Lytechinus pictus: one gene and its partner. Each later gene encodes a partner of the first gene's protein in a complex. Links are inferred from orthologs where the notes say so. Each region holds a gene or a part of one and is shown on either strand. Other genes may lie near its edges.

Evidence for each region.
Region 2: putative RNA-binding protein 15B (region 1) and N6-adenosine-methyltransferase non-catalytic subunit-like share a complex: the UniProt entries of both Drosophila melanogaster proteins name them as parts of the WMM complex. The link is inferred for Lytechinus pictus from reciprocal best matches to the Drosophila melanogaster genes nito and Mettl14.

The regions. Positions count from the first base shown.
Region 1 is NC_087247.1:53,157,622-53,168,254, forward strand, and holds the start of putative RNA-binding protein 15B, read right to left. Parts: upstream 4,047-10,633; 5' UTR 3,931-4,046; coding exon 1,555-3,930; 3' UTR 106-1,554; intron 1-105. UniProt on the Drosophila melanogaster protein: RNA-binding protein that acts as an associated component of the WMM complex, a complex that mediates N6-methyladenosine (m6A) methylation of mRNAs. M6a modification plays a role in the efficiency of mRNA splicing and is required for sex determination.
Region 2 is NC_087262.1:6,677,770-6,688,095, forward strand, and holds the start of N6-adenosine-methyltransferase non-catalytic subunit-like, read right to left. Parts: upstream 3,923-10,326; 5' UTR 3,844-3,922; coding exon 3,778-3,843; intron 1-3,777. UniProt on the Drosophila melanogaster protein: Non-catalytic component of the WMM complex, a complex that mediates N6-methyladenosine (m6A) methylation of mRNAs, a modification that plays a role in the efficiency of mRNA splicing and is required for sex determination.

The DNA.
Region 1 (10,633 bases):
CAGAAGCATCCTTCCACTTGAACGCGCAGCTGAATTAATCATGTGTCATAATCGCTGTTACTCACATTACATTAAAAAAGATGCAATTTTGCTAAAATATCTTACCTTCAAAATTCAGCTTCTCAATCATCAGTGGAGATTGGAATTGTTGTCATGGCTGCAAATTTGAAGCTTTATTCTCAGTATGAGGATAGAGGAGTGGTGGATCAGGAACATTTTCAGAGAAGGGATGTGACAGATTTGTAACTGAACTGAGCCCATAAGATAAATTGTTCAAGATATTTTAAGGTGCATTTGACAGGTAGCTAATGGAAATGGGGAGCGTGCATTTGGGAGGGCAATCATTGCAGAATTCCATTTCACCAGTTGCTACAACTTGAAGACATTCCCATTCAACAACTGATCCGGTCATGATGGCCTTGCTACAAAATGAGATGCAAGCTTGTCCATTTTATGAACTGAAAGAGCGCCCATCGATGGCCATTGCAAACCAAGTATTTTGTGTGTTGCTTATCTTTAGAGTGCCAGTTATGCAACAAACAGTAAGAAGTTCTTTCATGAAGAAAAAGTATGCCCAACTCGCATACATGTACTACATTTAGTGTATCCCAAAAAATAATTATGCTGAGAGTAAAAGAGTAAATTACATTGTCATGCATTTAAAATTCAAATTGCGATAATTTAATTAATAGAAAAAAAACTCATTGAATATACATGTTGTCTCATATACGCTGTCTTGATGAAAAGGATATACTGTACAGGGGACTATGAAATATTCCATTTACAATTTCATGAATTTCAGTAGAAATGAACATTACATATTTGATCACAAACTGCAATGGTTATGGTCATCAAATTTTTGTTTTTCACATGTAACTCTAGGATAAAAAATCCCATAGGATCTTAGTTTCACTTTTACTCTATAACAGCCAATGCGAAAAGAGCTGAATAGGCAGATTTCTTTTATTCTGGCTGAGTGTAAAGTCAAGTTCAGGGTAAATATTCAGTATTGTCAAAAATCACTGACCGGATCTGTATTTCTTTTAAGCTAGAAATCATATTAGCAATGATAATGTAACACAGAAATATTATTCAACAAAATAGAAATAGGCTTAAAAAGTTCAAATAACAGTACTGAAAATAAAGTATTATTGAAAAATGATTTTGAATTCACAAAGTAGAATACGTTTTTGATTTCTGTCCTGCCATTTAGGCCATGTTTAGGGGTTGACTCATCGGGATGCAAATATCAGTACAAAGTTACTTCAACATAATAAACAACTTGTTATAATCTACTTCCTAATACTTCATCAATCACACATTTTAAAACAATTGCATAAGATATTTCATCACTAATTACAAAATATACACAATTTTGCCAAGCATTCTTATCTGAAATATGACAAATACAAGTGTGCATGTACATGCATGAAAAGATTCCCAATTGAATGTTAAGAAGTTTTATTTTTTTATTCATTTCTAATTCTATAACTTTACACACTACATACCAAGGCAAATTATTTAGTTAAATTACTCTAAAAACATATTAAAAACCTATGCTGCCCCCTTCACAATGATCACAACAAGATGATCCTCTTTGCAAGGATCTGGGCCTAAACCAGGAGCAATATCAAGAAGGTACTTGTGACTGAATTCACATGGTGGAAAGGCATGAAGGACACCAACGTTATCCTTATTTTGCTCTCCACTAACTGGTAGGCTGATAACTCCAGCAGCTTTCTTCTGCTGAAGGTAAGTAACCAAGTTCACCAAGGCACGTGCCTGGGTTCCAGATGGTAAAGAGTCTGAATCTTCACTTGTTCCAGCGAAAGAAAGCAAAATTGCATGACCACTAGATCCAGCTTGCGAGATTCTTTTGCCCACTTCATCAAGCTTAGGTTGATCTAAACGTAAGCGCTGTGTGATCCTCAAGGCAGACTCATCACTTCCTAAGTCATGTGGCAGCAGAGCTTCAGCAGTGTCTGCATCTCCTCCTACCAAAAACATGCGAGTAGCAAATGCACTGTTCTTCAACACCAAATGACCTCTCCAAGACATTGGTAAGTAATTTAGAAGATCAGACAAGTTATCTAAACTATCTGGAATTCTGGAGCGCCTACTACCTCGCTTTCGACGACGTTCCATGGGTTGACTACCAAAATCCTGGTCAGAAAGATCACTACTTATGGATCGTTGACGGCGTACACGGCCATCTGGTGAAGCATCCCAATCACGCCCATGTGAAGAATCTCTAGGTTTCCTTCGCTCAGGAGACCAATCACCACCAGGGGACCTACGGCGCTTAGATGCTTTCACATTGCTTGGTGACCAGTCATCCCTACCAGCGAAATCATCAGGGGATCCATTTCGCCTTCTACGATTATCACCTCGTTGCATCATTCTTCCTGATTGGTCATTGTCCCTTCGGTTCCAGTTATCATTTTTGTATCGACTACCAGACTGCCAGTTCCCACGACCTCCATCAAAACCTCCTCCCCCTCCTTGCCACTGATCAGATCCATCACGAAATGATGGAGGTGAAATATCTCGACCAATATCTCTGTCTTGATTGTAACGATTGTAGCCTCTGCCACCTGAGCCATCATCATGGTTGGGTGGTCCTTGGTATGGTCTAAACTGCTTTTTAGTTGTCTGGATGCCAGGCCCATGTTCAGCAAAGTCTACCCGAAGTCGTTTGTCTGGTCCTCCTAAAGGAACACCACGCATGTGGCTGGCAGCTGCCTGGGCTGCTTCTACAGTTTCATACTGGACGTACGCAAATGAATCACCTTTAATATAATCAATCTTTCTAATTGCTCCAAAGCGATCAAACTCTCTTTCCAGCACACCCAATGTGATCCAAGGCCCCAAACCTCCAACCCATAGACAATTTGTTGGAGACTGTTTTCCATATCCTGTCTTGCACTGATTCCTCCCAATGTACTGGCCAGACATAGAGATTATTGCCTTATAAGCCATATCCAAATTTTCAAATTTCACAAAAGCAAAAGGATTTCCCTGGCCTCGAGGTGGATACTTGATGTCAATTTCTTCAACAAAGCCATATCTCTCAAAATGCCTTCTTATCTCACTTTCTTGGATACCATCTTCCAAGTTACCACAAAACACTGTACGTGTAGCCTTTGGGTCATCCTCAGGCAAAAATGTTGCATCACGGTCTCTATCACGACCTTGATTTTGGTGATACCCATCATTTCCATAGTTACGGGAATTTGATTCATATCGATTAAAATCTCTATCTCTTCCTCTGCCGCCACCACCACTACTGCCCATATCCTGCCTGTAATTCTTTCCTTGCATTCCACCACGTCTCCCTTGAAAATCATTTTGTCTATTATTCATGTAACCACCATCATGCCCTTGCCCCTGATTATGATTTGTTTTATTTACAATTGCTACAATGTGTAACGGTCTTGCAAACAATGTAAGACGATCACCACGAGCTTGCATTGCATCTCTAGCCTGATCTGGTAGTCTAAATCTCACATAAGCAATCCGCTCATTTTTTGCTTGACTGAACACAACACGCACATTTACTTCACCATATTTCTTAAATTCATGAAAAAGAGCATCTCTAATTGCTGTATCAGAAACATGAGAAGGGAAATTTGTGATTCTTAAACAATCTGGTTCTTTCCTCTGAAAGCCATCACTTTGGAAGTTTTGAGGACGATCATAATTCTGCGGGCGATCATAGTCATCGCGGGGTGGTGGACGCCTATCGCCGCCGGTCCCACGCCTGCCACCGTCATCTCTCTCCATGCTCCTCATTCGCCCTCCCATTTTTGCACCTCCCCTACCATCATACCTGTCACTCCCAGGGCTCATTCTATCTCGATCTGGCATTCGCTGCATTTCAGGACTATCCCTCACCCTCCTCATAGGTTTTCTACCCTGCTGACGATCCATTTGCAGTAAATTTCACAGCAATTCAGAAAGTTAAACTCCTTCCTGTTTCATGCTTTATCAACTACACTGAGCAAATATGGCCGCTTATTCTGCGTTGCATCCGGGTATGTGCGCATAGTCTTATCACCAGACAATGTACACTGTAAAAAAAAATTCTGAATCGGTAATTAACACTTAATATATTTAAGTAGAATATACAATTTGTAATTATTTTTCGTTTTTAAGTAGTTAAGTAGTTTTAACTTGTCTTTTAATTTACTTGATTTATTTGGGTTCAATATACATTTAAGAAAATTCACGTATTGATAGCTTGCTTTGATTGAGTAAATCTAACTCAATTAGGCAAAGATGAGTACTACTTATAAAATCAAGTTGAATGTACTTATATTTTTCAATTAACGCCATATTTTAATAATGCATGAATATTCATTAGAGCAAGTAAATGTTGTTGTTTTTTGTTAATAATTGTCATATCTATTTGTGTCTGAAATTGTTTTGGATAAGGGTGTGCTAACTAATTTAATCTTTTGTTGAATCAAAGAAAGAGCAACATTAAAAGTCATTTAGCAGAAAATTTCAGATTCTTTTTAGGTTTTCGATGCTTATATTATTCTCACTGTTTTATTTGTAAGAATGAAACGATCACATATAATTTCAAAAGATGTACGAACCCAAACACGAAGGGTAAATATGATTTACTATCAGTTTCCATTGAAAACGATTTTTAAAAAATGCCTTTCGCCAGCCATCGCAAGGCATATTTCAGGCAATTCGGTTAGGGGTGAGGGGGCCTTTAGACGAATCCAAACGTAGTCATACGATGTGTGAGAGAGGAGAAAATAAGTAAAACGGATTGGTGAAAGTTTGCAAGGAATCTTACAAGTAATAAGACAGTTATAGTTGTTTTGAAATTAAGATCCCCAAGAAATTTAAAATTGACAACTTGGTTAGTAAATGTTGACAATAATTTTCCATATTCATCAATTCAAATAATTATAACTTACCTCATTTACTTTACCATTTCATGCCTACTCAACTTATTTTCCCTTTTCAGCATTTAAGTTCTGCTCTAATCTTACTTTCTTTATTTCTTTTCATTTTTGTTTTTAAATCCTTCGTGTTTGTTTCCCTTTTCTTTTCTTTTTCTTTTCTTCCCCTGTTCTTCGTTTTTTGTTCTTGTGCTGTTTTATGTTTTGTTACCTCTCTGTCTGTCTTTGTAGACAATTCTACAATAATTATTTAGAGGGGTCCACACACTACAAGCATTTAGTTTGCTTTTGTTGCTTAGTGGATCCCTCCATTTTCTCAGATCTTTATAATGTTTATAATAATTGTTTTTATATAATACTTTGTTTTACTTATGGTAAAATATCGCATATTGTACATATACCTCAATGTAAATTGTTTGTATAAGTTTCATTTGCAAATGTCATTGTAATAATTTATGACCATTTTATTTCTGTTGAAAATCGAATAAAACCAAATTTGAAAAAAGGGAAAAATCGGGGATTTGTGGTTTACAAAATTACTGAAACTTCCGTCCATAGGAACATTCCCTCCCTAAAATAGTATTCTAAAAAAGCACTTCGAGCTGCCAACCCGGGGAGAATATTCTTTGAATGAAAATAATCCTGCCCCCCCCCCCCATTAGCAGAAGACGCCTGCAGTGTAGAGAACCTGTGTAGTTACTCGCATATCAACTTTATGATTAGTCGGCAGACCTTTATACTTTATACTGTTTTAAAGTATTCTTTTATTGCTTCTTCCAGTGAATACAAACACAAACTGATAAATTTCATAACTTCATAAATGATACATCATAATAGCTTCAGCTCCATCAAAGAACCAGTAAATAAGTAAAATTCATAAACATAAATTCACAAATTAATCCATTCATTTTCCAATTCACTTGAAGAAATTAAGAAGTATAAGACAGAAAAAAAAGAATAATAAACACTCCCGCACATCCCACACACAAAAATAATAAATCCTTGTCCTTCAGGTCCCCTCCTTCCCCACCCGCCCTCCCCCGGCCGCTAAAATCTATACCCCCCCCTTACGAAATCCTGGATCTGCCCCTGCCCTATATAGATACTGACCTTCGCATGTATGCATGCACGTTATCGATTATCTTGTTTCCTTCCTAATGTAATTTTGAAACGTCCTTCGTTTGATTGTTTTAACCAATTAGTGCGCCTATAACCTATTTCTCACCTTTCCAATATTTAAAAAATACAGCAACCCCCCCCCCCCACCCCCGGTGGACCGGAGAGGGGATAATATATCACCTCATTATCAGAGTGTGTTGCGAATGATACATGTAATTCTGGCATAACAAAGGATATACATATATAGATATATGCATATTGTCCTCAATAGTTGGTTTGGATTTTGGAGGGCTCAACAATTGAATGTAACAAAGCAGAAGAAAACGCAATTACCCCATGGAAGGGGGGGGCTCTCAATTAAGATGTACATGTACTTATGTGTTATCTGACTCCATTATTTTTCCATCGTAGAACACCCCAGGATCTTATTCACGAATGTACCAGACGTTAAAATTAAAGCACAACATGCAGCCTACAGTTTGAATTTTAAGAAAGGAAATTAGATAGTGTAAAATAATGTGCATTTCTTTCTTGTTTATTCTGTATGGCGTATATACGGCCTTCAAAATATTCTCTGTTTCTTTTATTTTATTTCCTTCGTCACTACTTTCTTCCGTTATTCCCAAATCTTCCCACCACCCAATAAAACTTAGCAAGTTAATCTATAAGGGTAGTATACCCAGAAAAATGTTATGGTATAGACCAATAAAAACTCGCACATAATATATAAATCTTTAATTTGCCATACATACAGTTTTTGAAGAAAATTTTAATTCCTTTTTATCAGGATTCTTACCAAAGTCTATGCGGGGGAAACTTTTGCAGCCAAACACAACAAAAAAGCAGCTCTCCTTTTTATAAAATATCTTTTTAATGAATCAAGATTGATCAATACAATTTGGCAGGAGTGCTTCATTTGCTAACTTGTGCCAAGAAATCTAATTGTCAAATCAAACATGAGTGAGCATGCATTATCGATCAAATTATTACTTTTTCAAAAATAACAGGGGTAATTTCTAATGCCAAAATTGAACATTTAAACAATAAAATATTTGATTATCTTACATCATGGTTGTAACCTTATCATGTTCATATGAAAATATAAACTATTTTGAAAATGATTTATTCATTTATTTAGTAATTTATTTGTCAATTTATTTACTTTCTTCATTTAAAATGCAAAATTTCAGAAAAGTTGGACATTATTTATTAACACACTTACTCATCTATCCACCTCTTACCCCCCCCTCTCTCTCTCTCTCTCACACACACACATATCACAATTTCCCCCTCTCTCTCTAAATATTTTATTTTCTCTACCGCACCCCTCCCTTTCTCAATTACTCATTCTCTTTCTTCCAGATCAGCTCCCCAGAAAATGGTCTTCTCCGTCTACCACATCTATTGTATGATAGCCTTTTGACAAGGCTCCACGGACATAAATGTGTTTTCACCATTGCACAACAATAAAAAAAAATAAAAGAGTTTTCTGCGGAAAATGTTCTCAAAAGAAGTAGATGAAATTAATCTGATTGTGTGGTTGGGTATTTATGAACTATACGGTTTTTGATAAAGATATCATGAAACACGGAGGGTAAAGGACCAGAATTCTAGGCATAAATTCACCAAGTTGAACTAAAAATAGATTTTTAAGATGTTATGTTCGAAGAATAGTGAGTCATTATGGGCGCATATATATGTGCCTTGCAAGAGAACTCTCTTTTGTAGTAATTAAATCCTTTCAACGAATGTTTGGTGTGAGCTGCCCCAAGCAAGAAGGCTGAAGTTCAAATATGGTAAAATAAGGGATGAGTAGAGCATGAATACAAAAGTGATTGTGGTTGATGTGATTTAAGTTTGTTGATTATACCGATAATGCGAGAGATTATTTTACAGATATTTTGAAGGTGTAATTTCCAGAAAAGTTTATTGTCTACTGAAACACAGATAAAATAAGTATGAGATACTTGTTTTAAAGGGGGTATTGTCAAAAATAATATCAGTGGGTAATAGGGAGTTACTAAACAAAAATATAATTCGTCTTCAGAAGATTAAGTGATATTAGCCCTTATCCGCTGTAATATGTTCCGTAACTGCATTAACAACATTAAAAAGAACATTGGGATAATTGTATAAAAAAATAAATTAGTATCATCTGCAAATGAAATGAATGACAAAAATTAAGTAGACCTATCATAATGGTAATCGTTTACATAAAGAACAGTGGCGGATCCAGAATCACAGGGGGCGCCCCCCCCCCCCTAATATAAAATCTAAATCGGCGCCGGACAAGAATAATCAGCGCCATTTGGTTATAAATCAGCGCCTGGTTCCAATAAATAGGCGCCGTTAGAATAATGAAGAAGGGCCTATTGCCAACCAAATCTAGATCGGCGCCGGTCAAGAATGATCAGCGGCACCTGGTTATACATTTATTGTTGAATGTTCATAACGAATAACAAAGCTTATCGCATGCCCTTACAGAGTGGACTGGGGAGGGGCAGTTGCCCACAGATGTCATGAAATCTTTAATTTGTTATTTAAAAAATCCCAGAATCATACAAAAGTGTAGAGCAAATCCTTTAATTTTGATCTTATATTCCAATGCTTTAATAAAAAAAAGGTCAGTCACTTTTCTTCTTTACACATTCCACATTGTGCCACCTCTATGGCCTTTAGTGTAAGACAGCTACTATCATGACTATAGTGTTTTATGAAGATGATTCGATATTTTAGTCCAAAACTTTGCTAAAACCCGTTGCTAATACCGGGAGTGTATAATTACGCAACCAGACGTATATTCGTTAGACCTTAAACCACTAAATATCATTTTCAATGTATAAATACAGTTTGTCAATGCCTTTGTTTTAACGTTTAAATGTTTACGCCACAAAATTTGATCTATTTTCATCTTCCATTAAGTTAAATATTATTCATCTGATCGCTCAGGAAGAAGTTAAACAAAAAATAAAGATACCTGTAGAACTGGAGAACTATTTCCAAAGCTCTGTCTTGAAGGATCTCTTTCTGAATTCAGGTCATAAGCATTATATCCAGTTTCATCAAAGCAATTAGATAAAAATTACTCATCATTACAAATTGCATTATATTTAGTGAAAAGCATCACAATATATATATATAAATACCAAATCTGTATATAGGCCTATACATCATGTACATGAAAATTGAATGATAATATATAAACCTGGATTGGTGATGTATTCCAAATGATTCATGATGTAGTATCATTGTAAATACAGAGGCGTCGGTCCTGGGGGGGGGGGGGCAGGGGGGCGATCGCCCCACCAATGAAAATATTGGGGGGGGAACATATCGTTTTGCCCCCCCCCCCCATGATTCCGCATGTGCAAAAATAAAATAAGATAGTAATGTTACACATAAATCAGCAAGCGAGATTGAGCTACACAACCCATTCTTTATCTAAAATCATGCTCAAATTGTCCGCTTTTCAGATTGGAATATAAAAATTTTCAGCTCGAGCTTCGCGCTCGCATCATTTCTGTAGCAAAACCCCATACTTTTCATGATTAAATAGGTGAATAGAATGTCCCGTTTTCAGTTCTAAACCTCAAAAGAACTCCCGCTTCGATTTGCAATAATCTTTTGTTGGATATAATCCTGTTCTTTATTAAACACTTCCATTAAACTGTCATTTTTTTTCAGATCGAAATATCAAAATTTTAAGCTCGCGCTTCGCGCTCGCATCTATTGTTTTTTTAGATACACATCTTAATCATTGGTACCAATAATGCTTAGAATATCAAGCTTTCTGGTCAGAATATAAAGAAATTTCAGCTCGCCCTCGGCACTCGCATTATCTGTGTAGTGAGATATGTATCCTCCTCATGAGTTACCACAAACAATCCTAAACAGGCACCTTTTTCCTGTTTTCAGGTTAGTATACTAAAAAAATTCAGCTCGCGCTCGCATTAATTTGTTGGTGAGATATGTGTCTCTATCTCATGAGTCATATGAATAAATAAATATATATATATGCATATGTGTGTGTGCGTGTTTGTGTGTGGGTTAATTTGTTTGTTTTATGTGATCGAGCGCCTTTGGAAAGTTGATTCATGATTTTGCCCCCCCCCCCCCAATCTGAAAAAAAGGATCGACGCCCCTGTGTATATATATATAGTAAAAAAGAATTGTATCTCAATTAATATACAAAAGTATTGGCCTCATCGCATTAAAAGGGTTAGTACACGAGATTTTGAAATCGCAAATAAAATGCATAATTTGTGTTACTTTTTGCTTGTTTCTTTCTTTAATAAGTTTTTCAATCTCTCTCTATATATGTTTTAGAAAGATTATATGTTTAAATTGATGTATATTTTCTGTTATAATGAGATATGTTTAAGTGGACTTCAGGAAATGGTCGTACGCAGCAAGGGGGAGGGGGGGGGGGCAAATTCCCGATCAGCTGTTGTGAAAACACATTTTTTTTCCTTAACATTTCATGAAAACTATGAAAAATGTGCAAATGTGAGATGTGCACCAAATACTTTTATTACACTTGTAAAAAAAATAATCGCCCCATTGAGCAGCTTGGTCCGTTTACTCTATCGTTTTAT
Region 2 (10,326 bases), on another chromosome or scaffold:
TAATGTAGCGATAGTGAAGTGGAGTGGAGCCTACACGAACATCACTTGAGGTAGAGCACTGGTGCTCCGAGTAGAACTTTTCAGTCTAAACCCACTATTATTTATCGTCGACCAGGAATTACATGCCACTGCGCCGGCTTATTCCTGTATCAGATGATGATGACAATCTGTGCACCAAAACTAGAATATAAACTGATTAAAGTCAAACTAAAAATGTCTGGTAGGCTTCCTACTAGTGTACGTACATACTTCCTAAAATAGCCTGTAGTACATTTATTAACCAGTTTGTTCAAAAATATTGTGGCTGTTGAAGACAGTATTTCTTGTAGTCCTTAATCATCAATAAATAAAATTCATACTTTGATTATTTAGACTATTTCTTTTTTTCTCTCTCTCTCTCTCTTCTACATACAGATCTGCACACTTGCTGACTCTGGTCTCTGCTTACTACTTCAATCTGGGAGATTCTGATATGGACATGTAGCCATTTTTTCTTCACTCTGCTTTCCTGGAGCTACGGTTTGCAAGTTATGGACTGATAATAATCTTAATTGATCTTGGAAACAACAATTTAGAGCAGTTTTGGAGAGGACTATAACATTGAATTGTACAGGAATACAGCTTGTCAAAAATAGGAACACAATTTAAAACGAAAGAACAATTGTAATGTAACTAGGGCATTTTGTGAGAAATTTTCTACTCAATCACACGTCCCAAATCAAGGGTAAGTCCTTTGATTAAACACAAACATGTAGTTGAATTGCACGTGCAACTCGACCTTATTACACTTGAATTTGAATTTGAGACTAACGCTTTGAACATAAGTTTCTTGCAAAGCCCCAAAGTTATACTTTGTTAGCAACTCTGTATCAGTTATATACCATGCTGATTGCTGAAAGTTAAGTGTCGTGTATATATCGTCAGAATTTTTTTCTCGAAAGGTATAATATATTTGTCCTTTTAAATGATATTGGAATATGGGTATGCCTGTTATTGTTTTCCACAATATTCATTGCATGTATGAACAAAAGTGAAATATTTATTGTGAAGCACTGTGAATGTTGTTTGCAGTTGTGTGATGGTGCATCATGTTTGTTATAAGACTGTAAGCCTGGTGGATGTGATCGAGGAAGTGGCCTGGATGAAAGGAAAGTGAACATGTGTCCAATTACTGGTTTGCACATTTTAAGACAATTTTGTTTCTGGATAAATATTGCTATGTATTCCATGTGAAGAGTAAAGGAGAAGTCCACCCAACCAAAAATTCATTTGATTACAAAAAAAAAATATTCAGAAAATTTCATAAAAACTGATTCAAATTAAATAATAAAAAATAAAATGCTTAACAAAATTTGAAATGAATAAGATGTGACATAATCAACTCTAATGTGCATGTCATTGTTTTGTGTTTATAACTGTTTTGAGTAAAAAAACAAGGGAAATTACTCTATTCAAATAATTTTTACTTGATGTGGACTTGACATTTAACTCATCCTCTACCCCTCCCATCCCTGCCCAAATAAGTGCAGAATCTAATCAAGAACTTGAAAATCAAAAGCAGCAATTAAGTACGATTTAATAAATGCAGGTCTGAATAGAATCTCACATGAAAATAAAAAGAGAAAAAAAGAGCTGGGTAGGAATGGGGAAGGAATAAAATGATTTTACAAAAAATCCCCGAACAAAAAAATATCACGAGTTTCGAACCAGGGTCCTCGTACTCATCAAAATAACGTTTTACCGGTTTGGCCACAGACCGCTTCTTACTCGCACTGGGGCTTTTAAGGATATATGAAACAAAGTCCGTTCGCCACTGTTGCCTCATAATGCTTCGGCAATTCAACTGCAATTCCAATCATTTCGTGATGGATATTACCGTGTTTTTTGTGGTTCCTGACTTTGCTACGTAATGAAATTTCATAATTTTTGTTCAGGCGTGAAGAAGAATGTCTATGCTTTATATTGATTATAATATTAATGTGACGCAAGTGTGATTTCTAAGTGAAAATGTGCTTTGTTTATTCACATATATTTCTTGAAAAAAAAAATCATTTTTTCTAAGCTAAATATCGGTTACCAAAATACGTTAAATGTGCATTTTATTTCATTGTTCAGTAAATTCAAACTTTTATCTATATAACAAGACCAATCTTATGAGGAATAAACAATTCTAAGAGCAAAAAACGCTGATTGGAAAGGTCGTTTTCAATGGGCTGCTGTCAGCTCAGCTGCTCACCGCTCATTGTGTGACGTCACTCAGCTGGAGCTCGCAAGAGGACCGGTGGAAGGCAGAAATATGGCATGAAAATAAATCATTTTTGAGAGCCGATTTCTGCAAACTCTAATCACTATTTCAAAAAGTGAAGTTAGATATATGATAAGTAATCCTTCCCCTTTACAATGATGACCACAAAAATTAATTATAAAATAGTTTTGATTCTTCGGGTGTGTACTTTGATAGTAGAGGCGCATGGCCAATATGGGAGACTGTCACCATCATCATGATCTTGTTCTCTTTGTTATTAGCTTAGCTACGAGTAGACCAAAAGCTTCGGTCTCTGTTATGTTGGTTGTTCAGCTGAACTCCGTTGGCTTCACTCACCAAATACAGAGACCGAAGTTCTAGCGCGATCTGTACAGGGGACTCAATGGCCATATGTTTATGTGCATTAAGTTCGGATAAAACAGGGCAGTGAAGTTGCGCAACAGCCGAGGTAAGTCACTGTTTTTGTTCCTTTTAACTTGATTTTCCCCGTTTTTGGGGCAATTAATGCCAAGAGGGAATATTAATTTGCATTTCGGTTGGATTAATTTTCAAAAGTTTGATTCATTAAAGACAAAAATTGAAGAGCCCCGACATGGGGATTTTGCATTGTAAGTCCCCTAATGGTGGCTGCACGATAGCGAGCCGTCTGTGTACGAGGAGAAATTTAAAAAATAAAAAAATGTTAAAAAACTCCTCGAAACAGACGGCTGCCAGCTGTCTAAGCTACGAGACGCATATAGAGGGCGGCAACATCATGCCGTAAACATCGGTAAGTTTTCTCCCATCTTCTCATTATACATTTTTTGGTTTTTGAATGAATATTTGTTCAAAAATAAAATTGATAATGTATGATGGGGTGACCTAAAGCTACGCACCTTGTTTACAAATGATAAAAACTATGCCAATTTAAATATTTGGACAAATTATTTTTTGCTAATAATTTGTGGTTTATTAATTATATTCTAAAGTCTTTAACTTTTTAAGATCCTTACCCATGATGTTGCCGCCCTCTATATGCGTCTCGTAGCTAAGCTAATAACAAAGAGAACAAGATCATGATGATGGTGACAGTCTCCCATTATTGGCCATGCGCCTCTAGTCTCTGCTATTAAAAGTTTCACGAGACCTTAAGTAGGGCTCGACATTGCCATTGGCCACTCACACGTACCGGTATTGCGAGGTTAGTATTACTATTACTACCTCGCACCACGAACCTCGTTTGGCAGTGGATTTCTAACTAGTGGGTCGCGCGTGCTGGGATCTCACTTCTTGGGTCCACAACACACGACTTCTATGGCTTGATTTTTCTGTGCGCGGCGGCATGTAATGAACCCTTGGCCTGGGTGGACATTGGCTGCATTTCGGCGACGAGCGACGTAGACAACGGCTTGAATTTGCATTGCCCCACGCGTAAAGATCCGTGTTTCCTTTTTCTGTAACTTGTATTAAGTTAGAATGTTGTGTGTAAATTGACGTGGTAACACCGACTATATAAACAAATTTAGACTCACCTGCTGGGCAAGGATTTTTCTCCGCTGGGAGGACCGCGCTCTTATTGACTTCAGCCTTTCAGACATTCTCACTTTTAAAAGGAGTTTTGTATCGAGGAAAAAAACTTAGTTTGACGCTGGATGTTCCTTAGGATGGTGTCGCTGAGACACCAATATAGCAACAACAAAAAAGAAAAAAAAAGACAAGTCTTAGGATTGTTTGCAGTTTGGTTCTTGCCGTGCATGGTTTCTTAATTTCCTCTTATATTTCTACTTTCCAATTTCCACTCTAATTTTCCTTATATTTTCTTATTTATTTCTGACCGCCTTTTATTTCCTTTCCCGCTTGTCTTCTTCGTTCACTCACCAGTGGCGTAACAGGCGGGGGGGGGGGGGGGCAAGCTGCCCCCTCTGGCGGATTTCACCGGGAAAATAACAAAATGGGAAAAAGAAAAAAAAAAGAGAAAGAGAGAAGGGGAAAGAAAGAAAGAAAGAAATGAAGAAAAGAGGAAAAAGGAAAAGGGGAAGGCACAGGGGGCATTTGCCCCCAGTGAGTTGCACCCCCCCCCCCGAATTTTGAAAAAAAAATGTATAGTAAATGTTGTCATAAGCATCCTACTAAAGCTGCTAAGTGCTCCAAAACAGCTTTTTCGTTCTTTAGATTTGGAAAAATCTTCATAATTTTCATAAATGAAAAATGTTCAGCTCGCGCTACGCGCTCGCATCAATTTTATTGTTGGATTAAATAGCCATCCAGCCCATGATTGCAAAAAGTGCTTAGAACGTCCAGTTATCATCTCAGGATGTCAAAAATTTTCAGCTCGAGCTTCGCGCGCTCGCATTATTTATTTGGTGAGATATCATCTTCATGATTGACCCAATGCAAACAGCTAGTCCTTAACAGGTCCCTTTTCAAGTCAGTAGGGTCTACATAAAAAAAAATCAGCTCGTGCTTCTCGCTCGATTTTGAGAAATAGGCAAACCATTTGTGTGTTGCCCCCCCAAAAAATGCTATTTTGCCCCCCTCCCCCGGTTAACAATCCTGGTGCCGCCATTGCCCCGGACCCGATCCGCATATCACTGGCCCCCAAAAGCTCTACAACCGAGAACCAAAAAAAAAAGAAAAGATGAAAAAAAAGGAAAGGAAGATGTAAAATATATATTTTTTTAATACCATGTCAAAATCAATCTCAAAATTAGATTCTTATGAAAAGGTGACTTTTTTTCTCGCTCGCTTCGCTCGGTAATAAACAGTTCTGGAAATATATCAAAACCAGGCGCAAAGACAACGTAGGGATCCAGAGCCTTAAGAAGGGAAACGAAATCATCACTGATGACCAAGGGAAAGCAGACGCACTGGCCGAACAGTTCCAGAGCGTCTTCTCAAGAGACGAAACCCAAATCCCCAACCTTCCAACAAGAATATAACATCCCTGATATGCCAGATATCAACATCACGGTTAGTGGCATCATCAAGCTATTGAACAAGTTAGATGTCTCAAACCCGGGGGGGGGGGGGCACTCGACCAAAAAAGTGGTAGGGGTGTGCCGCGGGCGAGACAAAAAACGGGGGCCTTGGAGCGGGCTAATTGTAAAAAGGAGGGTCCTCGGAACGGGCTTCGGAACTACAAATGTTTGTGAAAACGGGGGTCCTTGGAACGGATCGCCAGCGTGTGATGAGTGCGCATGCATCCCTATGGAACGGGCATGCGTGCATGATACAGCTAGCGCGGCCTCCGCCGGGTGCGCTCGCGCAGAAGCGGCGATGGTCGGACAGCGCTCTGCGGCCGCTTTTCACCAAAATTGCAGCTCCTTGTAGCAGATCAATGCGACCGGAACGGCGTAACGAAAAATATGCGAAGCTTTGGAGCGGATTTCTCTATTCTTTTTTCTCGATAAGAAGAAAATGCTATGCTTTGGAGCGGCTTTCTTTGTTCTTTTTCTCAATAAGACAAAAATGCTATGCCTTGGAACGGAAATTTGAGTGTAAAAATGGGGGTCCCCTCCGCGGCACATACCCACTATGCATTATATATTGAGTGCCCCCCCCCCCCGGGGTCTCAAAGGCCGCAGGACCAGATAGCATACCAAACCGTGTTCTTAAACTTACAGCTGAAGAAATAGCCCCAGTCCTGCAATTCATATTTAAACAGTCATATGACCAAGGGATCCTTCCTGAGGATTGGCGTAAAGCGAACATCGCTGCTATTTACAAGAAGGGTCCTAAAAATGAACCAGCTAATTATCGCCCTATATCGTTGACCAGTGTATGCTGCAAACTTATGGAACATATAGTTGACAGCCATCTAATGACACACCTTACTACAAACTCAATCCTTTCTGACTACCAGCATGCTTTCAGACGGGGTAGATCATGTGACACATTATTAGTTGCCACAATCCATGATCTTGCTACTCATCACAACAACAAGGAGACATGTGACATCGCAATACTCGACTTCAGCAAAGCATTCGATGTCGTCCCCCACAAGAAATTGTTGCAGAAACTTCACTTGTATGGCATCCGTAGCAAGACCCTTGAGTGGATAAGATCCTTCCTGACCCAGAGATATCAAAGAACAGTAGTGAATGGTAAAACATCAAACTGGTTACCAGTCCTAAGCGGTATTCCACAGGGAACAGTCCTCGGGCCCCACCTCTTCATTTTGTACATAAACCATCTCTCAGAAGCAGTTCACAGCACGGCAAGACTGTTCGCAGATGACTGCATACTCTACCGAGCAATATCCAACCCCTCCGATGAGGATCTCCAGAAAGCGAGTACCAGGACATACCAATTACTCACTCCTTGGTCAACAACTTCAGGAAGTAAATAGCCATCAATACCTAGGAATACATAATTATAGAAAACAACCTAAAATGGGATAAGCAGTCACAACAGGCATCCGCCAAAGGTACGAGGGCTTTAAACTTCATCAGAAGGAACTTCTATCACTGCTCTAAAACAGTGAAAGAACGTCTATACCACACACTTGTTAGACCCCACCTGGAATATGCTTCGATAGCATGGCACCCAGGCACAATCAAGAACACCAAATTGCTGGAAATGGTTCAGAGACGAGCCGCCCGATTCGTCACAGGGAACTACACACGGGGATCCAGCGTTACAAACATAATGACAACACTTGGCTGGATGTCTCTCGAAGAAAGGAGGCGAAATCACCGAATCATCAACTTATATAAGATCATCCATGGAGAAACTCAACTTGACTTAAATAAATATGCCACAAGAAAAATAACAAGATTAAGAAGATCCCATGATGAACTGTATGACGTCTGAACAGACGTCACTTCAAAGTTCATCACAACTACCCAACTGGCTAATTACTTCTTCCCTGAAGCAATCTCCCACTGGAATAGTCTCACATCCGATACGGTATCCTCCAACAGCACTGATATACTTAAAGTAAAACTAAACATGCAAATCATGCAACAAAACAAAACAGAGTAACAGTACTCCCACTCTCGTCAGCCCTGAGTTACCCTTCCTGGTGGAGGACTTCAGGGAATAGAACTGCAAGGTACAAGGTACAAGCTCGGGACTTATATTAAGCAATTTTTTGCTGCGTGCGCCATACTGTGCCTCCCTTTTTTTGTACTTGTCACGCAATGAGCTTAGCTCTATGGCAATGCTCGGGGCCACAATCATAAAAAAATCTTGTTCATACCATGATGTGGTATGGAGATATATATATTACCCTGTTGTGCTAAAACATCCCGTTTTCAAGTCAGTATACACTAAATATATTTCCTCGCCGAGATATTATCGTTTTATGTAGTGACATATGCTTCTTTTTCAAGACTTGCTTGCCTCCTTTTAAGGTCTGATTATAAAACATTTCCAGACAGTGCTTACCTTCGCATTATGTGGATTGGTGAGATATGTCTAACCTTCATGAATTCCTAAAATCCGTCCTTAAAATGTCCCCTTTTCTGATCGGAATATCAACAATTTTCAGCTCGTGCTTCGCGCTCGCATCATTTGGTTAGTGAATTCCTATACAAACAAGCCTTAGGATGCCCCTCTTCAGATCTGAATTCAGCTCGCGCTCGCAATATTTGTTTGGTGAGACGCGTATGAATAGGTGCTTCATGATTGTGTTTAGATGTAATTCTAACAAAATCAGCAAACGCTTTGAACTCGCATCAGATGAATATGGTGAGATATATACTCTTAATGGAGTCCCCCCCCCCAAAAAAAAAGTCCTTAAAATGTCCCTGTTTGGGGACAATATTATACAAATATTTCAGTTCGCGCTTCGCGCTTGCATTGTTTGTTTAGTAAGACACGTACGTATTATGTTTACAAAAATTTGCTTATAATGTCCCTTTTTAGGTCTAAATATAAAATAATACTAAATAGGTTCATTATTGCGGAATGAAATAATCGCTAGATGGTATTCATTTGTCTCGCAATCTACTATGGTCAACAAGGATAAAGAGTTGCAGCGGCACTCGAAAGCTAAAGAACACTTTTTGCGAGAGTGATCACGAATTTCCTTGTTGACCATAGTAGATTGCGAGACAAATGAATACCATCTAGCGAATATAAAAATTGTACAGTTTTTAATTTCATTATCTTCTCAATGCAATGACACTTTCCATTTTAAGTTGACAGGTTTCTATATTATAGGCCCTAGTGAACCTTTTCCCCCCATTCTTCCCTTCCTTTGTTTCATTATCATTAATTCATTCTCCTTTACTTCTTCTTCTCCTTTTTTTTCCGCCTCTTCTTTTAAGTTCTTCACTTTCTCCACTTTTCACACTTTTGGGCGCCACTTATGACAAAAGGGTGCACTTTGGTCCCCTAAGTCCTCCTACAACTATATGTGGAGGTGTCGTGGCCTAGTGTTCTAAGGCACCCGACTACACACCATGGAGGTCCGGGTTCGATTCCCGGCACGGCGCTTAAAGGTCAGGTCCACTTCAGAAAAAAATGTTTATTTAAATCAATAGAGAACAAGGCAAACGCCAAGCGTTGTCTCGCCTGCATATTGCAGTCATGAAGAGACTGCATGTCAAAACTACATGTATGCTATATGACTTAGATGGACCTCTGTTACGAGTTTGGCGATCCCACCTCGAAGCTATAGAAAGTTATTGTGTGTACAACACAGCAGTGCCAGTCATGGAAAGTTCATTGACCTTTGACCTTAATCAAATTCAACTCACATTTGAACTTGACCTGCACCTTCAAAAGATGGACCTCTTGTATGAATTTGGCAATCCTAACTCGAAGATATAGAAAGTTATTGTGTGTACAGCACAGCACAGTGCCAGTCATGGAAAGTTCATTGACCTTTGACCTTAATCAAATTCGGCTCACATTTGAACTTGGCCTGCACCTTCAAGAGATGGACCTCTTGAATGAATTTGGCAATCTCACCTCGAAGCTATAGAAAGTTATTGTGTGTACAACACAGCACAGTGCCAGTCATGGAAAGTTCATTGACCTTTGACCTTATTCAAATTCGACTCATATTAAAACTTGACCTGTACCTTCAAGAGATGGACGTCTGTTATGAATTTGGCGATCTCACCTCGAAGCTATAGAAAGTTATTGTGTGTACAACACAGCACAGTGCCAGTCATGGAAAGTTCATTGACCTTTGACCTTTGACCTTATTCCAATTCGACTCATATTCGAACTTGACCTGTGCCTTCAGGAGATAGACCTCTGGTATGAATTTGGTGATCCCACCTTGAAGATATAGAAAGTTATTATGTGTACAACACAGCACAGTGCCAGTCATGGAAAGTTCATTGACCTTTGACCTTATTCCAATTCGACTCATATTCAAACTTGACCTGTGCCTTCAGGAGATGGACCTCTGGTATGAATTTGGTGATCCCACCTCGAAGATATAGAAAGTTATTATGTGTACAACACAGCACAGTGCCAGTCATGGAAAGTTCATTGACCTTTGACCTTTGACCTTATTCAAATTCGACTGATATTCGAACTTGACCTGTGCCTTCAGGAGATGGACCTCTGGTATGAATTTGGTGATCCCACCTCGAAGATATAGAAAGTTATTATGTGTACAACACAGTACAGTGCCAGTCATGGAAAGTTCATTGACCTTTGACCTTCTTCCAATTTGACTCATATTCAAACTTGACCTGTGCCTTCCGGAGATGGACCTCTGGTATGAATTTGGTGATCCCACCTCAAAGCTATATAAAGTTATTGGGGGTACAAAGCTATTATGTGTACAACACAGCACATTGCCAGTCATGGAAAGTTCATTGACCTTTGACATTTGACCTTATTCCAATTTGACTCATATTCGAACTTGACCTGTGCCTTCAGGAGATGGACCTCTGGTATGAATTTGGTGATCCCACCTCGAAGCTATAGAAAGTTGAATAGTGATACCTATGTCTCGCTCCGCTACGCAGGCGAGACAAAATTCAGACAAGCATAATGCTGAAAATTTTATCAAAATCGCATTTCAAATAAGAAAGTAATGACAATTTGAATTTTCGCTTATTTTTCACAACATAGTTATATGCACAATTTATTCACATGCAAATGGGAGAATCAAT